Linked DNA regions of Oreochromis niloticus. The protein of the gene in region 2 binds, or shares a complex with, the protein of the main gene of each other region. Links are inferred from orthologs where the notes say so. Each region holds a gene or a part of one and is shown on either strand. Other genes may lie near its edges.

Region 1 (8,485 bases), on a different chromosome or scaffold from region 2:
GGAAATGGTTGATACCCATACTTTTTTCTAACCACTTTTACTGGCTACAAAGTATATTGTACTGTTCACTGTTACGGGAAGGAGAATCAGTTGTTATTTTCTGAAATAAATAAAAAACCTTCACAAATTACCACAGTAGCAAGAATATCAAGCACAGAATTGCTCTCAGTGCTATAAAACAATTAGCTTTAACAAGAGGCAGACCAATAGCTAACACAGAAAACCTAAAAGACCAAACTTGTGTGGTCCTTGAACAGACATGTCATCTGTTAACATCTTACTAACACAGATGCTTAGGTCTGAGGTAGTGCACTGCTACAGACTAATGGTGTTAGCATCAAGTAGACTCATGATAATAGTTTTGAAACACAAACAAGAAAAAAGAAAACAAAAGTGAAAGCCAGCACTCAAGTGTACTGTAGTGCAAGTGGTAACTGAGAGCTTTGACTACATACCAGTCAAGTATCTTGTCAGTTCATTTGTGGGCACTGTTTGTCACTTGACGACAGAGTGCTTATGACTGTTCTTCACGTGGATAACTTAATACTGCTGGGTTGTAGAACTGTGTTGTACTCAAGACATAATATGGATTTGTCACTTTGTCAGTTTCGCTTTTACCTCTGCTCAAGAAGGTGAAGATAAATCAGACCCATGGGTGAGTCAAGCAAAGCTCCTCCTCCTCCTCCTCTTCATTATCATATTGGTAAACTCTAAAACTGAATTTCCTATTAAGGGCACAACGGATAGACATCTGTGTATCTTTCTGGAATATGCAGGAATATGCAGTATACTACAAAGTATATACAAGAATAACTTTTATGTGTTTATACATTTAAGTGTTGTAAATTAGGACCATGCCAAAATGTAAATCTGTATCTGGATATCTGTATTTCATGAGAAATTATACATAAGGCAATGCTCAGCTTCAATTTGAAAAGAATTATATCAATATAGAATAACCTTTACGAGGTGTCCAGATTTTGAGAGTTAAATAGTAAAAGACAAATCGATTTAAGAATCGTCTGAGATTCAAATAAAGCAAAAATATGCCCTGAGATCATTCTCGAGTGGATTTTGCACTTATTCACAAGATTTCTGCTCCTGTGTTCCTATTTTTTTCAACTGAAGTCTAATTTTTATTTTTACAAGGCATCTTTGATACCTCTTTGACAGAGTTGTGCTTTTTGAGTCTCATTGTTTTGTGGGTCCAGTGGTTTCTTTAGTGACACTGTCAACACTTTATTCTTAATATCAGCAGACAACTCCACATGAGTCTAAATGTCAACTCACCAGTCTCCATCAGCTCTTATGTGCATGAGCACTAAAAAGACGCACAGCTGCCGGAGAACTGTGTTAAGAGGGATATAAAACTCCTCAAACAGGCTTTTTAGTATTGGTGGAAACCTACACAAATTAAAGCTGAGAGATTTAATGTATTACCTAATAAGAAAAAACGAGAAACCCACTGAATACTTATGGTATGGATTATGTTATTGTGTTGGAGCTTTTACTATGACTCCTTCCCAGGTGAGAAAACACCATGTGCACAAATAGGAACAATAAAAGGTCAAAAGGGTTAATAAGATTTATTTCATCATGTGAAACTTCAGTCCTTACAGCACCAAACACCACCCCTCATTATAATATCAAACTACACTGTCATTATGTGTTTCTTTTTGTGCCTTTTGTGAGTCACTGTTTTTACTATACAGAAGATATTGGATTTGCAAATCCAGTTTTGCATACTTTATTACCATAGAAACATGACATAACAGTGAAAACTAGGTTTTTAGCCTTAAATTAAAAAAGAAAAAGTCTAATTGTACACCATTTCCAGTGCCCTATAGTTGATAGTATTTTCTGTGTACTTACTATACTGCAGGTATTTAATGTGATTTCTTTCATACCTACAACAGTGTTTGAATTTGTTGCATTTCAGTACCTTACCAAAACAACATGAAAACAACTTTCAGTGCCTTGTGAAAGGGGAAGGTCCGTTTTTTTCAAAACACCAGTGGGTTTTTAAACCTTCTGCTTTTATAGTCAAAACTTTAAAGATTACAAGAGAATTAACAACATCATCAGGACATTTAGAGCACACCAAATGGACTTGGGAGCAAAATACCTGACAGTGACACAAAACAACCCGCAAACCCCACAGAAGGTTATGTTAAAATAAAAGCTTAAGGACTTTATTCTTAAGGAGAAGGATTTTAATGTGTATGTTAGGAAAAACGTGTAGGTTTAAGGCACTAAAATAGATGCAATGTGCTTTAAGGAGGAGAGCTGATTCAAAGGGAGGTTGGAGTAGGCTCCACAGATGAGAAATGACAGCCAAGTCGGATGAAGCAGAGTTAGGCTACTGTCTGCTACACTTTTAGACCGATCCAGCTACAACTGTAGTAACTCACCTCTGGCCGACATCCACCTTGGGTCAGTAGCCACTGTAGGCATGTCAGGTTGCCGGTTGCTGCTGCGTCGTGCGCCGGGCTTGCCCCGTTATTTGCCACAGAATCGCTCGGCAGCCCTGCCTCCTCCACCAAAAACCGCAGGCAGGCTAACTTCCCCGCCCGGGCTGCGTGGTGGACGGGCGAAGCTCCCAGCGCATCCTTGACGTCGCTGGTCAGCGCATTTGCCGCTAATTGCACTTTCAAAGTCTGCACGTCCCCCTGCCTTGCGGCCAGCAGGGTCTTGTCACCCTCCACCACCATGACTGCTGCAGATTGCGCGTCTCCTTCCTTCCTTTGGTTGACTCCGTTGACCCGATCACCGTGCAGATAGTGCGGATAGGGTCAGAGCTGTATTTATAAATGAGTGGATCATGTCAGTAGCCTAGTTAATTTTGGGGTGGGGTGGTGGTGGGAGAGACGCTCAGTTATCGCTCCATGGGTCTTCCCAAAGCGCTGTTCAAATGCAAGATCCCTTTATCGTTCATTAGTTGTTTTTTTCCAGGTAGTGCAATATTTACATGCTGAAGTAAAACTTCATACCCGACTGACAAACTAACCTCTTTCTTAGGCTTTGTCTGGCCCGACGTTGTAGCTCAGTAGGTTATCCGCTTCTGCTGTCTCCAATAGCATCCACCTGTTGCACAAGTTGTGTTCTGGGTTACCAGCCGGTCTAAACTATCTTTCCCCCAAACATTAGTTTATTAACCTTTTTTTCGCTGCTGAATAACTATCGCGTATCATGCGCCCCAGGGAATATTCCGCTGTGTTTTTCTTCCTATAGCAGATGGCGACATGGGACGACTCAGCGCCTGTTAAATAATCCATCAGGGGGAGGATCACTGAGCCTGTTACAGGTTGCTGCTTTCTGGAAATCGGCTCAGAAATTAAAGGAGCAGTACGTACATGCTACTTACAACTCTGGATATACATTAATTATGCTGCTAGGGTGAAGGTGCTCGTCGCTGTCAGTCAAGATAGACCCACAAGGAAACATTAATTCAGCAATGGACTTTGTGAACACACCCCAGATCCTGTTTGCAAACAGCATTAATATTACATGTGGCAGTGAAATCAGTATCACAGGACCAGAGCATACTTTTGCACTCCAGAGGTCCATCTAGTGGCCTTTCGCAGAAGTTTAACCCCCCCACCCCCCAAAATAACGTTGTTGTTTGTTTTTTTTTATTGGGTGAGCGCATAACCAGGCTGTAGAAATTCACAGGTAAGCTGTCACTAGACCTGCTTTTTCCTTTCTCAGTTTTTCAAATGTTACTCTTGAACACATACTGCTTTTTTTCGGCACCGAGCCAATATATTGTCCCAATAAAAGTCGGTTCCTCACTGAGATGAAAAAAAAGTAATTATATTGATTGTCATTATAGACCGCATGTTAATACGTCAATTGGAAATAGTTATACATCTTAAATGATACCACATTAAAAGATGAGCAAGTTATTTCTGAGGAATAAATGCGTGATATTGAAACCGGATAAATCATGAGAAGTAGTCGTATCCTGCGGCCTAATGATCGTTTATGCATTTTAGTGCACTTACGCCAGTGATGTGTGTTTCATTGTTTGGGTGCCAAACATGAAATAAAATAGCTCAAATTAGCATCCCCTTAATGAAAAAAAAATGCTGATGGCAAGTTATAACGTGTTGCACAGATACGGGACTGTTTTTTGTTTTTCTTTGCATTTGGACAAAGTAAATATTCATGATAATGAATGCACAATGAATGAGTGCAAGATTGCAAAAGCAATTTATGATTTTATTCTATTCTTTCTTTCTTTATTTATTTATTGCATTACATATAAGAATGCAAATGTGTATTCCAACGCTGCTGAAGTCCAACCTACGTGCACTTTATGGAGAAAACGCATTGAGCCACACCTTTTTGATCACACACACACACGCACGCACGCACGCACGCACGCACACACACACACACACACACACACACACACACACACACATCTTTGAATTCATGTGTGTTCAGTAATCAAGCACCTAGCCACGCACTCTGACTTTGCAAATATTTGTGAAAAAATGGGTCTTTCTGGAGCAGGATTAGTGATAGGATGCCATTGAAATGTTTTGATATTTCCCCCTATGGAAGATGTTTAACGATCAACTAACTGTAAGTGGTTTAACTGCAAATTTGAAGGAAACTCAGCAACTAAGACATAAAGTTTCAGACCAAGTAAAGTTATGGAGTAGGGTCGCTGAGTACTGAGGCGCATATTGAGTAAAAGTCTCCAAAGCTCGACTGACCCAATAACTGCAGGGCTGCGAACCTGCTCTGGCATTACAGTCAGCACAAAATCTGTACCGGGAGCTCAATGGCATGGGCTGAGCAGCTCCTGTAGGTGTAATGTGTAGATGTTCAGTACTCTTGTCCATAGTGTGGAAAAGCTACCTACTTTAAACGTTTAGCAGCTATACCTCAATAAGGTATAGAAGCACATGTTGGTGTAGATTATCTTCTACGTCGCCTTACTGACAGTTTCAACAAAAGTTTCAAAGGTCAAGTTTCAATGCAAATGATCCAGACGGGCTGTCTGTATTTCTATGAACATATTGCAACGAAATGTAATACATTTCATCACCAAACGGTGGCAGGAAAGCCTTGTATTCTGCAGCTTATCTCCACCTGGTACAGGTGTTCATGCGTCAAGTTATTTGAAAAATTACACATTTAAATAAGCTTGCACACCGGACGACACAGATAAAACATCTAAAAAACGACAAATTTGAAAGTCTTAATTTTTATCTTTAAAAATAAGCAAAACTCAGAAATATGCTCCCCTAACTGCTTTGTAAACATACAGCCTTGGTATACACTGCCAGAGCAGGATTCAAATAGGACTGTGCATGCTATAGTTACAGCCTATAACTAGAGTGTGCTTAAAGGGTATTTAAATGATTAGATGTGGAGCAAATGTTGAAAAATAATGAAGCTTCACACCAGGTTAACTTTCTGCCAGACTAGGTTGATTGATTTTTCCGCTCAGGCAACTTCTGCGGGATGCGGGTGGTTTCACTGCTGAGTATTTGGAGGAGGTGGTGGCGGGGGGTATGGGCGAGTCTCGTGCTCGGCGCGTGCCTCTTCGCCCCATCTGTCTCACAGGTCCAACTGTCATGGACACCGCGCGCCAATTTGAAGGAGGAGGAGGGGGGAATTCCCACGAGCGTGCTAACTACAAATCCCCAGAGGACAGAGGACAGTAATGGTGGTAAACGAGGGGGGAGGAGAGGCCATTTAACCCAGAAGATTTTTAGCTCAGCCTAAAGTACATATATGTGGAACAAGTCCGTTAGCTCGGAAGCAAAGCACATTGTGGTCGTTTTATGGGCACTATTAAATCTTCGCACATTTCCATACGCTACCACTGTTTGTTTATTTTCAGACACACTGCTGTGACTCACAGGGAAAAAATAATGACCTTCAACTGAATGTAACCTCAGCTGAATCTGAATAAAGTTTATTTTTTATTTATCACGAAACCCACAGTTTAAAAAACTGTCGACCTTTTTATAGGAGAGTATTCAACTTCTAGCTACTCACTAAAATTAAATTGCCCGTTTATTAAATACGGTATAGATTATTTGACTGCCACACTAATCCATCTCCTTGTTTTGGGCTTATTATTTCCCACTTTGGTATGTGGACTCTAGACGCAAAAGACGGGGTACTTTTGTGCTGCAGCTGTAGCTTTTGATTATCGGTCTAACACAGGGTTTAATCAAGTGTAGGAAATTGTGGAGTCTTTTCCCAGGGACTGTTAAAAGACATTCCAACAACCTCAACCAGCGAGGAGCCAAATCCCCATTGAACTGGAAAGAAGCTGCCAACGGTTTCCCCCCTCCCTCAGAGCCTGGGAAAGCTGGGATATTTCTTGCACGCGTCAGAAGTGCGACAGTTATTCAAATTGGACTCGATTATTCAGAGCGTGGGCCCCATCTAACCTATTGTGTGTTCACATCTGCTGCTACGCGGGAACATTTAAATGAGATATTCTCTACCAAGTTCGGACCAACCTCTTGTAACCCAACAACCGAAAAATTCAGTATTTCTGACACAATAAGATCCCAAAATAATCTAGACGTGAGAGTTTACTGTGGTCAGTGACTGCCACAGATAGTACACTTCTTTTTTATGAAAAAAGGGGGAAATTCATCTTTAAATACTGGAAAATGTAACTTTATCTTGACCATTTTAACCTACTGAAGATAAATGCGTTATTATCTTTATTAAAGCCACCATATATTCATTCAGTTTTCAGTCTCAGTTTTCCGTGTGAGGAGGTGCAGTTTTGAAAGCCCGTTTATAACTAGGCTATATGCCAGAGTAATAGCTCCCTGTCCAGCCTGCTGGTCGGCGCGTGCCACAGAGGAATTGCTTTGGATTGGATAAACTCGGGCGCGTGCAGGGAAGGGGCCTCCGGTGTGCAGCAGGGCATGCTCAACCACAGACACAGGTGTGCCTTTATTATCATCGTGTCAAATCTAAATTTCCCAAATAAACAACGTAATTATGTAGGCTAATATAAAAAAGAACCCACAAAAGGACTGCGGCAAGATTACTGTTCATAAAAAAGACACCAGACAAAAATAAACTTTATTTGCTGAAAGAAGACCAACACACACAAAGCGAGGAAAATACTTTATTCTTTTCCATTCTCCCATCCCCAAAACGCCTTCTTTCTTTCTTTCTTTCTTTCTTTCTTTCTTTCTTTCTTTCTTTCTTTCTTTCTTTCTTTCTTTCTTTCTTTCTCGGTTTGACTGGCATATTGTTTATATAACGTCCCATATATCAGGCATTAAAAAGTTAATACAATGCATAGATTGAATTATTATAGTAATGAGAAATAAAGCATACTCCAGATATTTAAATTAACAACAAACCTTTTGTATTTGTAGCTGCAAGTTTTTGTATAGGCCTATATTGATAAAAACGTCAGTTTTCTGCAGCTTAAGTCTGTGCTACAACATATATTTAGAAAATATGAACATTTGTGCTCTAAAGACATAAAGGATGTAATTCCTTTATAATGTTCCTATTTTTAATCTAAATATGAGTGCACCTGCAGTTTGAACATATATAAATGAGTTTTTACTCTATAACATCTGCGGTTGAGCACAGATGTTGTGTAAAATTATACATTTTTCTTCTCAGACTAATAAGCTCCAGGCATGTAAGACCCTAAGAGATAATCTGCATTCTTTATCATAGTAATGGTTATCGAATAATTTGCATTATTATACCTGGAACAATGCACTTTTAGAAATATTAAGCATAAGGCATTATGACAAGTCCTACCATCATATTGCTAAAGTTCCTTTCTTTAAACTTCCTTTACTGTAGTTCTCACAGCCTTTGAGACAAAACGTAGAAGTCTTGTGTCCCCTTGAACTTACCCTGCAGCCCTGATGTCTGCTCCACAGCGACCCAGTCATCCGTGAGCTGCAGTGAGAATATCTGCGGTCAGAGTTTCTCACACTCAGGGTCATTAGTGCCGGACAGAAACAGGACAACTAATTTGACAAGACAGGAGCTTTAACAATGCAACATCTGCAGCAAAAAAAATCAAAAAGGCCTTGGCAGCACTCTGATGCTCTAGTGATAAAAGTCGAATAAAAAGAAAAGCTTATTTTCAAAGTTAAGCTCAGTTATATTATTCTGCTGCAGATAAACATAATTGAACTAACTCAAAAGATGGACTCCCAGGTTCCTTTGCAAGCATTGTTAATGATAATCTGCAGTATTGTAAAACCCCATGGTCACGTGTTATAACAGCTTTAGTTATAGGTGTCAGCTTGTTGGCCAAACACTACGGCGCAAACAACACAGTCTTCTTCAAATAGTGACACCAAATATCTCAAATATATACATCCATTATAATAAAACAGCAGCAGACAAATGTTATTATAAATAGCTGAGATCTCCTACGAAAAGCCACACTACTACACTGTATCTAACATTTATCTATATATTTTATAATCATAAAGGGTATGTTTAAATTGAAAATGAA
Region 2 (8,358 bases):
CAATAAATTGCCCATTACCGTGAGAGACAGTGTTCTAATATCTCTACTGATCTCTCTAGGGGAGATATACATCACTGTATTATCAGCAAGCTGTTGGCTGATTATTGATCAGGTGTTACTGCTGTTTCCCTCTCCAGCTGAGCTCCAGTGTGTGGTCCCCGCAGTCTATCGAGTTCAGCCTGCAGCAGTTCTGCCTGCCCTTCCTGCGCCTCTCCTGCCTTTTGCAGCACCACCTGTATGGAGACAACCTAACCGGCTGCTTGGTACGATTCATCATAAATGTCATCCTAAATGTTAAAACTGCCCTTTCAGACTAACTGACGGCAAAGTGGTTTGGCTTCTCACAGGAGGAAGAGGAGTTTGCATCCTTGGCTGTGTGTTTAGGGCTTTTGCCCTCCGCCCCTCAGCCTGCCAACACCGTGCAAAGTGCCTCGTGTCTGGAGTGGCCAGTCAACACCTTTGACTTGGTGACGCAGTGGGGCGCTGAGGTCAAAGGGCTCTCTCAGATACATGCTGAGGAGTCACTGGTATGTTTATGAACTTCTCATTTTTAACAGCGTGCAGTCGAGCAAAGCAAGTAAAGGTTTTTTAAAATGCCAATCAAAAAATACTCACATATTCTATAACAAATACTTGGATTTTAATTTAACTTAATGTGCCACATCTGATTCCTGTATTTAAAGTTTAGTTTTAGCCTTTGTTGTACCTCTCACGTGTGTCTAGCTGACCACGTGTCTTGTGGCCTCCTCTTTTGGGTCAAAGTGTAGTAAGGAGATAAAATCAAGTTCATTGCTGGGTGTCTGTCTTCTCCTCCTCAGACCTTGCTGGTCCATGATCCTCAGTGGGCAGCGCCCCGCCTCCTGCAGCTGCCTGACAACTACAATATCATCTTCCAGTACTATCACAGAAAGGCCTGCTCTGCCTGCAAAAAGGTGCCAAAAGACCCCGCGCTCTGCCTTGTTTGCGGCGCTTTCGTCTGTCTCAAAGGCGTGTGCTGCAAGCAGCAGGGTATCTGTGAATGTGTTTTGGTGAGTTTTCCCGGGTTTATAGTTCCATTTTTATCATCTTCAAAGCATTCTCAGTGAGGCCCAGCATGCAGAATTGACATAGCTGCTTGTTGAAGTTGTCAGCTTTTAGCAAACCTTTTTTTGTCCCCCACACTTGTCACTTTGTAGCACTCCCAACATTGTGGCGCTGCGACAGGCATCTTTCTACTGATAAATGCTTCAGTCATCATCATCATCCGTGGACATCGTTTCTGTCTGTGGGGCTCTGTTTACCTTGATGCACACGGAGAGGAAGATCGGGATTTACGGTAAGACGCATAACACCCAGTCATGAAAGACAACAACTGTACACATCTGTCTTCATCACACTTTTTTGTTAATAGATAGTATAGAGTCTTTAGAGCAACTCTTTAAGTACACTCATAACACTTGGTGTGATTCTAGTATGAATTTAAATGTAGTTCCCTTTTTTTTCCCATCCTTGCTGCTCTCACTCTTGTTTTCCCCCCTCTGGCATATTTCCAGTCGTGGCAAGCCTCTCTACTTATGTGAGGAGCGGTATCGAGTGTTGGAGCAACAGTGGGTTTCACACACCTTTGATCACATCAATAAGCGTTGGGGGCCTCATTATAATGGACTCTAAGATCTTCCAAAGTCCACTGAAAAACCACATCCCATGATGGAGAAGATTTTTTTTTTAGGTTTTTCTTTTTTTAGGGATTTTGTTTTCCTTCTGGCTTATGTGTCTGCCTTGATCAAAATAATTGGAAACTCTTGCTGTGATAAACACAAACATCCAGCGAGGGCTATTTCTGCCACAGCCTTGGTTTATGTGAAGTTTGGTGTACAGTCATGCCTAAAGATTTAACACGTGTGTGTGTTCAAGTGATTTATTGTGTGGTTTTTCTACAGGGAAAAACAGAATTTGGTGAGATTAAAGTAAAAAAGTAAAAAAACAACAAAGAAAAAGCGAGGGAGGGGGGGGGGGGGGGGGGGGGGGATTAAAAAAAAAAAAGCACAAATTTGCCCACAAACTGAATTGGTTTGGATCAGGCTTTTAAAGTCTCTCCAGTTTATTTGGTTTAAAAAACAAAACAAAAAATCAATTGCTGATTGTCCCTGCAATGTTTGATTACTTTTACCACCATTTCTGATGTAAACGCATATCCCTATTATTTATCAAAATGTGCTCTGCTGTGCTGGCATGAGTTTCAAGCTCCTGGTAAGTATAGCAATGTTACTGCAGTGTGCACTCATTGTCTGCTGACATGTGATAGGAGGCAGGACAAGTCCACCCATCAACACACTAGAGTTTATTTTGCTAACAAGCAAAGACTCTTTCTTTTATGGGTCTAGTTGCAATCCATCCTCAGGAATTTTTTTGTTTTTTTTTGTTTTTGCTGAAATATGTTTTAGATATTTAAATAAATGCTGCTGCTCATTGTTCAAGTAATTAATTTTAACTTTGAAGAATTTGTTTTTTTTTTGTTTTTTTCCTAAGGTTGTGTTTTGGGTTTACCGTAGATGGTTGGGAATGTTGACTCAAACTCAGTTTAATGGTTAAGGAGGTGTGCGGTCACCAAATTACACCCACTACACTTTTCATAGCATTGGCCTTTTCACACTGTTTAACTCAAAACTCCACCTTTAAGACACTGAGCTGTCTTAAGCCTCATCATCACCGCCCCCGTATAAACCCAAAGTCTAAACATTGAGGGAAGGCAAAGAGATCTCACCGCGCATCTGGTGTCCTGAGCGTCATGCAAGAGCAAAAATGCTACATCAGTTCTGTCAGAGTGTTCTCTCGAGGTATGAAACTCGGTGGGAGTTGTGTTGCTTCTGTGAGGAGACTGCAGTACTTGTCACTCGTCTTTCTGTGCCATCAGAAAAAGGCTTTCCCTTTACGCTTCTGATTGCCAGGTCATAAACTGCAGTACAGAACATTTATTATTATTATTATCATTATTATTATTATTATTATTATTAACAACTATCTGTTATACATCATGCACCATGTAGTTGTGATTTATAGTTGCATTCCAACATTGCAAGACTATCAGACTTGAGTATCCGTTATACACTGTGCATGACATCCTTTAAGCCACCATTATTTAAGTGTCTTAGCTACTTCATTTTTTGATTATCATCTTTTTTTTTTTCCCTGGAAGAGAAGTTTCATCCAGCCGTGCCTGCAAGATTAAGGGGGCCTATTATGCTTATTTCCAGCTCCATGATTTTAAATGAGACTTCATTAGAGAAACTTTGCTTCTTCACAGTTCACAAGAACATAAAAAGCCCCTTATTTATTATCATTTCTTCTTCTTCTTCTTCTTCTTTAAAATGCCTCTTCAAGCCTCTGTCAGCCTAAAAGCTCACTTTCTTCTGATTGGCTGCCCTTTGCCTGGTGTCCAAAAAAACTAAACCTAGTGCTTGTAAGCTCCGCCTCCTCATCTCACATTCAAAACTGCAGTTCGGCACAAGAGTTGGGAAAACTGTTGTGAACTGAGCAGCTTCAAGGAATTAGCTGTTATTGGCGTCCATCAATGAGCCAGTTTATTTGTAAATGACAGAAAAAGAGAAAAGGCATAATAGGACCCCCCCTTTTTTTTTTAATGCTTACTTACAGTGATCAGCACACAGCTGATATTCCTGATGTCTGGTTTTGAAATGCTGGGTCACATTGTGCTGCATCGCAGAATCTCTAAGGAACAAGTCAACACTTGAAAAACTTCCTCTTGAATTCATGCATGCTGCTTTTGTGTTTTCTCCTGTCTCTTTTATTTTTGTTGTACCCACTTTGTTAATGACCGCAACCAAATAGCCAACGATGGGTGTAAATTGTAACTGAAAGCTTTTGTGTGTTTTCCTGTATGAATGGGGAGAGAATACAGTACATTACTGTAGGTGCTGACTCAAACTTTCTGAGTTTGACCAGAAAGTGTGACTTGGGACATTTAATGCAAAATGTAACATATGTGAATAAAATATAAACACAATGATTTTGTGTCTTTTTTCTTCTTTATGATCATCTTGAACATGAGAGTGATTTCTCTGTACTGGATCTCAATCCAACAGAGCACCTTTGGGATGTGATAGAACAGGAGATTCAAATTAATGATATGTAGTTTAAAAAAAATCTGCAGCCACTCTGCCAGATGCTATCATGTCAGTATGGTCCAAAATCTGTTCTGTTTCCAGAACCTCGTTGAGTTTGTGCCTTGAAGACACATGAAGAGAAGGTCCAACCTGTTACTAGGAAGGTGTGTCACAATGTGTGCATCTACACATCATCAAATATAAGTGACAGGACTAAATTTTCAGCAGACATAACACAAAACTCTAATCAGAGGACTCTAATCTTCCCTAGTAATGATTAAATTAAAGAAAAATATTAAAGTTTTTATCTAATCTTGGCTTACGTCGGTCTTTTTTCACTATTGTGACTTCTAGAGGTAATGTGAATGTTATGACACGTACACCTCTGAGGCTGAACAGCAAATTCTGGAGATACTCATTCAGACTTCACTGTATTATTCCTGCTGTGAGAGGATGCTCCCATCTGGTAGCGCCTTCTCTGGGAGTAGACTGATTTGCAATAATGTTTAGCTAACATTCCCACAGGAAGATTACATTGCAAAGAAATGATGAATGTTATTTACTGTGCTGAGTGAAGAAGCGGTGACTGGTCATTGTGCACCTCAAAATGAAAACTGCAGGTCTTTGGGCCATTGGTGCTCAAATCTGAGGAGGCAGAGTCAGACAGATCTGGTCAAGTTTTCAACAAAGGCAAGAATAGAGGTGCTACAAAAAAAGTTGAATATATTTTAAAATCCAGTACTCAACCATTATCATTATAAAAAAGGAAAACTACAATGCAATTGGAAACAAGTAGCCGTCTGTGCTGGTTTCTCCTTGCACTGCTCCATCTAGTCTCCGGCCCAGTGCTCTGAAAAAGAGGTTTCATTGCCATGTGACTGAGCAGGATAATTGGTCTGAGGCCCTCTGGGTAAAGACCAATGGTCACACAAAGGCTTTGTTTGCTACCAATTAGGCCAAAAGGAAGTAAGAAAAAAAAGTAATCTGCACAGGCTGGGAGTTTTTATGAAGGACACAGCTGAGACCGTGTCACCAGTGTCAGGCTGGGAGATGCTACTGTTACAGACCGTCCTCCGGGGGGCATCACTCGACATCTCCTTCTTTTCCCCCCACGCAGGTAAGTAAAACGCTGCTCCCCAGAGCATGAATAGACTATTCAAGGTTACATCAGGTGATACTGGTCAGCCAGTTAACCGCTTCCGGTCTGCAGGACAACATGCTCAGGTGTCCATACTGTTAATAATTAAAGTCTTTGCTGAATAAACAGGGAAATTACTTCGCATATGTTGCTATGGACGGTAAGCTGGGTCTAAAGAGTTGATTCAGACAGTGTGCTTTAGGCCTTTATTAAACTCACACGGAGATGGAGATGCAGCTGTGCAGTGATGCTCTGTCTTAAACAGTTTCCTCTTTTGCAGATGACAGAGATGAAAATACTGAGGCGACAATGTCGAGGTAGGTAACGAGACTCCTCATCTGTAGCTCTGCTAAAAAGAAAATGCACAGCCCTAAACCTTAAATCTGGATATCTTTAATCACTGTGTCAGTTTGGTTTTACTGTACTCTGTGAAATACTGTAAACCAGCAATCATTCAGTGAAGAAACCGGAAGTTAGATGAAAAAAAAAGTTAAATAGGCTACATTATGATAGTTATGCAAAAATCGCAATATATACAACATTTTTGTGTTTTACAATCACTTTAGCTTAAAATGCTCATTTTTTTCTTTTTTTTCTCTTTGTCTCTGTTCATTACCACAGTGGATTTAAGGCAAAAATAATAATGATGTGAAATGTACACTTCCATCTTTAGTACAGAAGCTTCATCACACTCTGAATTTCCTTCTTTTATAGGCTTTGCCAGACCTACACCACCTTCAGTTTTTCTTTACTTAGTGAAAGACGTGGTCAGGTGACTGACTCTGATGTTTAAGAGTATTCTCTTTATTGGCATTAAGAAGCATTGGGCTTGAGCAGAGGTCCATGCATTTAAGAAGCTGTCCTGCTTCTAGTCAATAAACATCAGTGACCCAGTTCAGTCGGCAGCCAAACAGGCCCATGCTGCCACACCACCTCCTCTGTGTTTTCAAGGGGTCTGTTTTGGATCACAAGCCCGTTTGAGTCTTGTTTTCCCATCATTGTGTACAAGTTTCATTGGTCCAAAGAATTTCTTTTAGAACTTGATGTTTTCCAGCGACTATTTTGGCATGTTGTTTGCATCTCTTTAATTGTAGACTTTCACAATAAATACACCAAAAGCCTCAGAACTGCTGTTGATTTGGTTAGATGCTGTGAAGTGGTTTTCCAAGTAAAAGATTCTGTAATCACCCTCTTTACTGCATTGTTGATTTGGCCACTTCTGAAGCTTCCTGTCTCTCTGATAGGTCCGTTTGGTATTTTTCTGCCTTATGGTAGCCTTCTTTAGCCTTCTTTACTTAGTCTGATGCCTCTTATTGTCTCTATGTTATGAATTCTCATTCTCAACAGCTGCCAAACTTAAACAATTGGAATCAACTCCAGACTTTATATGCCAATAATGTGGAAACAGACTACACATGGCTTAAAGCTGCATGTAAACCTGTTTCTTAAACCCCTTGAATTAAAGTTTAAAGTGTACAATTAAATCACTTGCTGATTACATCATGTGTTGGTGTCCATACACAACACTGTGTGAAACACTTAAAGACCTGACTTTAGGTAATACATTATTAGAGTAACACTAAAGAAAAAAGCAATGGGTCACCTACACATTACATCAACAGGAGCTGCTTGGCCATGAAGCTCCCAGCACACAGTTTTGGTGCTGATGTTAATGCCAAATGAGTACAGAGCTATGGAGTCATCAGAGCATTGGCAACTTTTACACACTGTCCGCCTCACTCAACCCCTGTAAACTTTACGTGGTTTGCTTGTCATGCCTACATGTTTTCCACTTTGCAGTAATATCGCGTACAATAGATCAATTGAATATCTAGGAGGGAAGAAATTTCACAAACTGACTGACGATTGACCAAAACAAATGTACGAACAAAAAATTGCTTCCCTGCTACGATTGCAGATGCTTTTTCATTCAGTTATGTTGCATTTAAATGGTAGCACTGCCATACTCACATCCATCACAGTGACACAGCTGTGGTGTTTGTGATTATATGACTGAGGTTAATTTATAATTAATTATAAATAAGAAATTATAATTCATTTAAGACTGATTACTTAGATGATGATGGTGCCTTTTTGTTAATACGGTTGATGCTTTGTGTATCCAAAGATGTCAATCAGGGATCATTAATCATGCAGGTGCACCGCTAAGATTAAAGATGTTAATGTTTAAAATAAATGCATTTGTCTCTGCTCATGTGAGGCTTTGGCCTTTCAGGGTGAGAACAAGGGCGAAATGCTTCAGGCCTGACTCATGGCTAGTGGAGGTTTACCGTAAAGCCTCTTCATATCCCCTTAAAAGGGATTATTGGTTTTTTTCCCCTCTCCATAGACTTACCAAAGGGGTTTACCCAGCGGACTTCCCATAAGGCTCTGCCACAGAGGGTGGAATTGTGCGAGTTTGATGGAAGCAGAAAATTAGATTACTGCCTTTCACTCTGTACTGTTTCTGGTGACAAAGATGTGCTGCAGCCGGTCACGTCACGTACAGCTGTTACCGCCTCAGACCTAGACTTAGCATTATGTAGATGCACAGAAAATGTGCCCGATGAGCAAAGGCAGAGCAGGGTAGTTATTCCAAATATGATCACCGTGATACTATGTACATATTCCTGTTTTGTAACAGAAAATACCGTGTACCACTGTGTATCAGACACAGCATCCCTTTTTTCAGCTGTGCTGATAAGAATAGTAAACAAAGGGTAACCTGAGCACTGCAATCGAAGAGCAGCGGTGTCCTGTTCTTAAGCGCTATTTCACTGCATCTCCTGCCCATTTAAAGAGAAGTGTTTGGAAATTCTTGTTGCCTTCTAGCAGTAAAAAAGAGCTCGAACAAGTCTGTATCACTTAGCACACATGTCAAGTTGAATGCAAGAAAAAAAAATCAAGAAATTGATCTTGTTTTCTATTTCAGCATCTCCCAGCCTGTTTTTTTCTTCTCTTAGATGCTATAAAACTTTGCTCTGTCTATTTTGCGATCCCTCGTCGTAGATTGTACCTGCCTACAAATTATAGTCAGAGAAATTTTATTTGAAAACTAAAATACCTGTAATTGTGAAGGAGATTAAATGAAGGCATGGTCGTTTGGAGCTGCTGTTT

Evidence for each region.
Region 1: the proteins of myo3b (region 2) and espn are in contact, whole or in part, in a crystal structure (PDB 5ET1), measured with the Mus musculus proteins. The link is inferred for Oreochromis niloticus from reciprocal best matches to the Homo sapiens genes MYO3B and ESPN. Residues at the interface, in XP_017174528.1 of Mus musculus: Arg1223, Arg1224, Gln1226, Gln1227, Pro1228, Lys1229, Met1230, Leu1231, Ser1232, Ser1233, Asp1236, Thr1237, Met1238, Tyr1239, Tyr1240, Asn1241, Gln1242, Leu1243; in NP_997570.1 of Mus musculus: Leu35, Ala37, His41, Arg45, Ala67, Asn69, Ala71, His75, Asp76, Ala79, Thr80, Asp101, Ser103, Leu110, Arg113, Phe114, Thr135, Thr137, Ala139, His143, Tyr144, Ala147, Thr169, Asn171, Tyr177, Leu178, Gln181, Ala203, Asp205, Met207.

What each region holds. Positions count from the first base shown.
Region 1 is NC_031984.2:24,122,320-24,130,804, reverse strand, and holds the start of espn (espin), read right to left. Parts: upstream 3,460-8,485; 5' UTR 2,712-3,459; coding exon 2,412-2,711; intron 1-2,411. UniProt on the Homo sapiens protein: Multifunctional actin-bundling protein. Plays a major role in regulating the organization, dimension, dynamics and signaling capacities of the actin filament-rich microvilli in the mechanosensory and chemosensory cells.
Region 2 is NC_031987.2:16,099,665-16,108,022, forward strand, and holds the start of myo3b (myosin-IIIb), read left to right. Parts: upstream 1-4,971; 5' UTR 4,972-5,108; coding exon 5,109-5,220; intron 5,221-5,302; exon of another isoform or gene 5,303-5,394; coding exon of another isoform or gene 5,395-5,401; intron 5,402-5,521; coding exon 5,522-5,558; intron 5,559-8,358. Other genes in the region: E3 ubiquitin-protein ligase ubr3, read left to right, coding at 138-263, 348-527, 819-1,028, 1,176-1,315, 1,533-1,650.